2 linked regions of the Coturnix japonica genome follow. The main gene of each other region encodes a partner of the protein of the gene in region 2 in a complex. Links are inferred from orthologs where the notes say so. Each region holds a gene or a part of one and is shown on either strand. Other genes may lie near its edges.

Region 1 (3,653 bases), on a different chromosome or scaffold from region 2:
AGTGTTTCTCTATTTCACTGCTGTCCACTTATTCTTTTCCATTAAAAGCTGTGACACTCATCAGCAAAGGAGAATATTTTCATGTCAGGATGGCCTTTCTAGCTGCTTATTCTTTAAAACATCACAAAACTAAACTCACGCTTCCACTCATCCAGGGGTAGATCCATGTTATCAAATGTGTCATCATATTTCTCAGCCTCAATTTCTTCCTCAGGATCATGAATTGCTTCAAAGTAAGGATGCATCAAAGCCTCAGCTGCCGTGACTCGCTCCTCCGCATCCAGCACCAGCATGTTCTCCAAAAGATTCACAGCTATGGGACAGAAAATGAACACTGCATTGAAATCAAGCGCCGATTTCAGCTTATACATAGTAATGCTGCATTGAAGATGCTTCAAAGATACCTACAGATTTACAAAGCAGAATCATTGGGTGCTCATTCTACAGCCAGTGAGGTCCAACTGCACAACAAAACAGAGTGCTGTGAACAAGCTGGGATGTGTACCAAGAAATGCAGAGATGCTCCTTAAATTCCACATGCAATACAGACACATCACCTCAGCTCTGACTTCTGAACTTCTGACTCCAGGTCCACTGCATGTAGGAACTCCCCAGATGTCTGCCCTCACTGCCAGCACTTTGTTGTGGTTATGAGGCACATCATTACTTGGCAGGGGCACTATGAGCAGATGGGTGTAGAGCTATCGAGAATTGTTTGTTATGTGACTAGATCCATGTCCTCAGCATTGGCAGCACATTTTCAAGTTCACCAAGACATCCATGCTCTAAATGTCAGCACTAACTTTATCTGCAACGTGTTTTGACCTCACCAAGACAATCCATGAAATCCATGAACATCTTCAGTGTTCCTCACGGGTGGATTTTGGATCGGGCCCTCTGTGAGACTATCAAAAGGCACTAGTATAAACTGACATGATTCTATTATGTTCATAAAAGTATCCTGTAAGAAAGTTTCTGAGTTGGGTGGAGCACCAGAAAGGAAGAAGGGACAGCAGCATGGGAAAAGATGCTACAACACCTGCTTGGCACATTATGGCTTCATAGCATCATAGAATCATTTCGATTGGAAAAGAACACTGAAATCTTTAAGTCCAACCACGCACCTAACAAGTCCTTCCAACCTTCTCTCCCAGACCAAGAGCAGTTGTTTTTCTTATAAGGAACAGCCAGATGGCCAAAGAAGTGACAGGAAGAAATAAAGTAGAGATGTGTAGAGTTTTCTGCAGCTGGGACAGCTAGTGAGTGAGCCATGCGGTCATGGTTAATAATCCTACTGTATCTTCATATGCCATTTTAACTGCTTAAATACAGAAGATTCAATTGTCCTAATTCATATTCTAAGAAAGCCTGGCTTTATGAGTCAGGTCATTGGGGAACGGATGAAGCTGGGCAGAGCCATCTCAGAGCACTTATTGCCTCAGGTCATGTCACAGTTATGCACACTTGGTATGTTCTTCTAGCTGTTTATATCCATCAAATACAAGCCAGATCTTTGCAGGAATGCACAGATGTTTCTCAGGACGCATTCATTCCATGTCTAAAATGTCAGCTTTCTATTTGTTTGCATTTCTGTTGTACATCAAAAGGACCTTTCAGAATTATATTTAAAATACAATGCACAGAAACCTTTATTAAATATATTTAAATCCCCAGGGCTCTTGAGAAAGCTGCTTCAGTAAAACCATTAAGCACGGTCTGGATCAGAGCCTAAAGCATAAAATACTTCTTTTTGACTCTTTTGAATCATCTGATTCCTGGCAGTGTCTAAACTTGGCACAGTTCGGCCACTAGAATCAAAGTTCTGAGTTATGGAAAGCAAGAGGCAGAGCAGCATGGGAATCATCACATAACTTATCACATGCTGACACTGCTGCTGCCTCCAGTGCAAACAAAACAACAACGGACTGTACACATTGACACAAACTGCCTTACCCAAAGGACTCGCATGCTTCAAGACGGATGCAAAATCCTTTTTCTGGACTTTTGGAAGGCTTTTGATGTAGTTTTTTGCCTTGAAAGAAACATGAGTATTAAATCAGAACTTTTCCTCCTTTACTAGGTACCTTACTGGTGCTTTGACAGTACCTTGCACAAAAGGATATTTTTTTTTGTTCTAAGGCCTGGTTATGTTCATCTTCTTGTTGAAAGGAACAGTTTCTTTTAAACCAAACCTCACAATTCTGATTAAGAAATTAAACATAAAGCTCTGATACCTAATCAACATCTAATATGCTGATTAGAATAAGTATGTATTCATCGTTTGAAAGAATGCCATACTGAAATTTACAGAAGCCTCTAAAAGTGTATGTTTCACAGTAATTCTGTAGTATTCAATCTGCACAGTTCATCTAATGGTTTATTTTAGGTTCTTTATAGCAGGGACTTCAGGATTCTCAAAAACATCACAAGAAAATAGGAAAGAGGAAGTCAGAGACACCCACAGAATGGATGGGCTCTCTGAAGAGGTTCATATTGTCAGTACACTTCCAGCAAAGGAAGTAATGTATCAGCTCAGCTGATTTAAAGTACTTAAATATATTGGTTTTTTTCAGTGTCCTAATCATTTTGTTTCCTCTTAATGTCCAGTAATTATTCTGGCTGTGAAACCTCCAAAGTAGGCAGAGAATCCTCCATGTGGCGCAAGTGGTAGAAGTGCCGCTCTGCTACACAGGAGGCTCGAATCCCAGGGGTTGGACTCGATGACCTCTAAGGTCCCTTCCAACTCGCACAAGACTGTGATACTGTGATACTGTGATAGATGTGCTATCAGGGGTCATTTCAGCAGCCAACACACACAATCTCAGGCAGTCTAAGAATTGAGAATGGCCCAGCGCACACAACACAGTCTGACAAAGCAGAACACTCACCTCCTGACTCTTCAGTTTTTGCACAAAATCTTGACTTGGAGTACCCGTTACTTTCATGATTTCTGTGAGCTGGTCCAGATCTGAATGCCAGAAATAAGGAACAAAGACTCTCACCATAGGATAAAAATTACGTGTTTCTTTGCTGCTGGAGAATAAAGCAAAACCAACAATGCAACAGCTGAACAGGAGGCATGTAAAAGATGAGCTGTCAGACATACAGAACTCGTAAACAGGACAAGTGATGAATTCTTGCTGTATTCTTTAGCACTACACTCCGCTGTCTGTCACAAGCGTTCGGGCCAACAAAGTATCACCTAAGGTTGAAGTATGGCCAAATCTTAACTATTTTCTTAAATTGTCAGCAATGAAATGACATGACTAAATATTTTCTGCACATCTAAAATATTCTACTATGTATTATTTACATGGTATTTTGGACAAAAGCCTCAAAAAGCTTGAAATGGACTAGCACATGCTCATAAGTTCATACACTACACCAGAACTTTCTGTGCTGAAGTTGTGGAACCTATTGCTACAACAAATGCATATGTATATATATTAATATTTACCTTTTGTATTGTCAGTGAAACTTTTAGCTGATGATTTGAGGCATCATTCAATGGATATCCCAATCCCACTCTCTATTGAGAAAGTTCAGTAATATGAGTTTTAATTCGCTGATGTACAGATGTGGTACAAGTATCAAATAACTAATTAAATACAAAGATGATAGCCTTACCTAAGCTATATGTTTCAATTTACGCT
Region 2 (3,753 bases):
AAAAAACAGAACAACACAAGGAAAATGTAGTGTCCACCTGTGGAGTGAATACCTTAGCAGTGAAGCACTGAACCTATGCAGACCTATAGAAAATATATGACTAACAATGGTCTAATCTTCAGTGTTGTAAGCATCACAGCATGTTTTGGAAGACAAAAAAAGCTCACCATAAAACGTCTTATTTTTCCCCTGAAAATCATTTATAGAGATAAATGACAATAAACAGGACACACATATGGAAATACGTTGTCATGGACAGCTAGGCACTTCAGGTATGAAGTTTCGAGTGTCTTGTTAAATTCACATAGCAACAGATACATAGCCAATGACTCACAAAGACATCCCTTGCCCATTTTGATACAGCAGGAAGGATTTCTTAAAAGGCTTGGTTTTGTCTTTAAGCTAAGATCTGCAATGGTTCAACTTTTCAGACCAGTTCACAAAAGCACAGAGTTTTGAGCTCAAATGCATCGCCTACTGGGGTAGATTGACCCTTCATGACCAGAACTGAGATATTCAGTGCTCAGTGGTGTTTGGTTAATGTGTCAGGAAGATGTACTACCTGTTCCTGGCAAGTGCTTAATGCTCTAAATGCCAAGGCTGATTCTTTACGTGGCCCTTTCTTCAGCCCATGGAGCAACTCCAGTGGCTTCAGGGGGCGACCAGTCCTGACTCATGCCACCAGAAGATGTAATTAGAGAGCCCAGCTTGTGCATCCTGCGGTATCACCTGGCTTCCTTCCTCTTATGGATTTACTTTCTTTGTGTTTCTTATGATTTTTCTGTGCATATTTTTCAGACTCTACAGTGCTGCATGCGTTGCAGCTGACACATTTCTGCATTACTGGGAGCCAAGCTTGACTGGGAAATCCTTCTCTCTTACACATGCAAAAACAATGACACGCAGTGTGAAGTTGTATATAATATACAAAACTGTGCAATTTGAACTCCATTCACCCTCTGTCTTTCATAGATGGCAACTGGATGATTTTAACCCAGAATGGCTCATCTGCTTTTTAAAAAGGAAAAGAAAGGAGAAAAAAGAAAGGAAGTGAAAAGCATTCACTCAGGTTGTTTATGTTACAGCAAAGCTAAAAATAAATTACTGATAGCCTGCATATGTAAAGGTTTATGAAAACCTCTAATAGCAACTAGTCAGCAGCAAAGGAAGCACTTGGTTTTCCATAGCAAAGCAACCACAACTCTGGTTCCCCTTAAGGCTGGCTGGCTACAAGCGGGCTGGCTCCTAACTCAGATCAGCAGGAAGAATTTAATTCTCTGTCGTCTTCTGCATTTGGGGCTTTGTGAGAGAAGTCATCTCTCCACAGGTAAACTGCATCTTTGCTGGCATCCCAGCCCTCCCTGCTCTTAGCCAGCACCAAGCTCTGCACAGAGGCACACATCCAGAACAAAGCCAATCCTTCCATGTGGAGTAAGCTTTAAATAACATCCTCTTCGTGTTGCCAAAACAAGCCAACCCATTCAAAAAGTGAAGTATCTGGAGTTCAAAGAGAGAAGGTTTTCTTAGCGCTGAACTTTGCTCAGGCGGCACACTGGAGTGGCTTCGGGACATACCAGTTCCGTTCTTGCCTCTGCTGAGCGTTTTGTTCAGACAAGTCCAGGCCAGGCGCAGTGCCTTGCTCCTGCAGCCAGCTGCCTCCCTCCCTGCCTGACACGCTCTTCTTGGGCACCTTGGGAGCTGAACTCCGAGTTTTTCAGAATACTTTTTAGATACTCCAAATCTTGTTATAACCAAACACGTGCAAAGATTTTTGTTATTCTTTCCAGACTGTAATATGGTCTCTAGTAAGATAAATAATATTTATGTTAAACCTTCCTTTGGGGAGAGAGGGATTGATTTGGGAATCTTTGAACTGTGCTGTAAATCTCAGCTGACATTTGCATAAAGTTCTGGACAGTTTGTACAGTCAAACAACAACCACCTCCATTTTTGTCTTTCACCATACTATAACTTCCCAGAAAAAGATTTTGCAGTCCCCCAAGCTGCCGTCTGAGTTACTCAGAGCACACTGTTCACATTCTCCACCACACCTGCAGTGCCACATCGTAGTACCTCACAAATACAAGCACAAAGCCAAACATTAAAGCAAGTTTCCTCAAGACGCTTTTATATCAAAGTTCTTCATACAAGCATCCTTTCTTTTGCTTGTAAAGGCACTAATCATATTTCAATTGCATCCCTACAATATAAATTTAATAGCTTCCTTATTTCCTCACTTTAGCATTTCCCCTGTACTCCCTCTGCCTTTTCAATTATAATAGCTAGATCGTTTCTTTCATTTCCTTTCTCCTGTGTCCTGCTTTCATTTCTCATACAAAATCACATTTGGTCACTTACACTTTTCTTGAGGATAAGCACACGACAGCAGGATCTCTTGCTCCACCATGGTGCCGCCTGCCAGAGAGTTCAGGGGTCTTCTGAATAGCGTTTCAAGAAAATATTTTGGAAAGCTCAGCTCGCTCATGCGAGCTTCTGATCTTCTCCAGCCCTCTTGGCTTCTGTGTGCTGTCACATGTTATCCTTCCTCCTGACAAACCTGTGCAGCAGGTCTGGCAACACGCATCTTGTGTGTCAGAAGAGCTTTAATTGATTCACTGCAACAGGTACCCACCTTCATTAAAAGAACTTTTTTTGAAAGGAGTAGTCTCTTAGCGCCTCATTTGAAATTACAGAACCTGCAAAATGTCACAGCTGCTGCACTTTAAAGGGAAGCTGCTTGAGAACGTGCAGGAAGTAATTTAGAATCAGTCTTACATGCCAAATAAACCACAGCTAGCGGTATAAGTTGGGTGCTTCTGCACCGTGGGAGAGCAGCAAGCCTTTTGCTATGCACACAGGTGGCATGGTCTGCTTCTGCATCTCACAGGGCATAGATTCTTGTGGGATAAAACAACCCCATATCTCTGCCATAGAGACCTCTGCCCCCATGAATAATAGCGCTGATTGCTACTGATGCAAACCATGTGGCCGTGATTTCTTAGATACACAGACTGGAGAATGCAAGGTTACTGGTGCTGCCTGCAGAGAAGCTAAGTCCATGTAGCAACCACAAAAATCTCTGCCTTAGCACAACCCCTATATAGGTCTCAGCAAAGAGCCCCCAGCATGGCCCTGAAAGCTCCATGCAGTTTAATTACCAGTTCTCTGCTGACCTCATGCCAAGAGTGGCCCCTCATTATGACTTGCACCAGTTCCACATTAGGGCACATCAAAAAGTATCCCCATAGCCATTTCCTACTGCAGTTGCACCCCCAAGCATTGTTGAGTGCAAGTGAGGCTGTGGCTAGGAAAGAGCCAAAAAGCAGTAGACGTGGGATTTACACCTGACTCTGCCTCTAATTTGCCCTGTCACATTGGGCAAATTGCTTTAGCTCTCTGTTGTTTCCCCATCTCTACCACAGATAATTACAGCTCCCTTTCTTTAGAAAGTGCTTTGAAATCTATGCACAAAACACACATGAAAGAGGAAGTTATCATTATTGCACACTTGTAAAATATTGGGATGAGGCAGACAATGAGCAGTGAGCATTTCAGATTGCATGCATGCCAAGTGTCGTGTTATACAAGGAGTGTGACCTTATTGTCATAACCTGATTATTTATGCTGTAAAAAAATAAATAAATAAAATAATTCTATAAAATTCAGTACAAGTCCAGTTTCTGTTTTGCTGAGAGAAAAAATCTAAACCAATTCTCACTTATAAGAACTTTACATCCTCCCGGAAATGGCAGG

What was found.
Region 1: the proteins of PTPN3 (region 2) and mitogen-activated protein kinase 12-like are in contact, whole or in part, in a crystal structure (PDB 4QUM), measured with the Homo sapiens proteins. The link is inferred for Coturnix japonica from reciprocal best matches to the Homo sapiens genes PTPN3 and MAPK12. Residues at the interface, in NP_002820.3 of Homo sapiens: Arg655, Leu671, Asn674, Arg675, Tyr676, Lys677, Asp678, Val679, Arg751, His812, Ser843, Ala844, Gly845, Ile846, Gly847, Arg848, Met883, Gln886, Thr887; in NP_002960.2 of Homo sapiens: Met182, Thr183, Gly184, Tyr185, Val186, Val187, Arg189.

Annotation. Positions count from the first base shown.
Region 1 is NC_029516.1:18,175,039-18,178,691, forward strand, and holds part of mitogen-activated protein kinase 12-like, read right to left. Parts: intron 2,969-3,653; coding exon 2,889-2,968; intron 2,033-2,888; coding exon 1,954-2,032; intron 314-1,953; coding exon 140-313; intron 1-139. UniProt on the Homo sapiens protein: Serine/threonine kinase which acts as an essential component of the MAP kinase signal transduction pathway.
Region 2 is NC_029517.1:46,309,773-46,313,525, reverse strand, and holds the start of PTPN3 (tyrosine-protein phosphatase non-receptor type 3), read right to left. Parts: upstream 2,516-3,753; 5' UTR 2,486-2,515; coding exon 2,359-2,485; intron 1-2,358.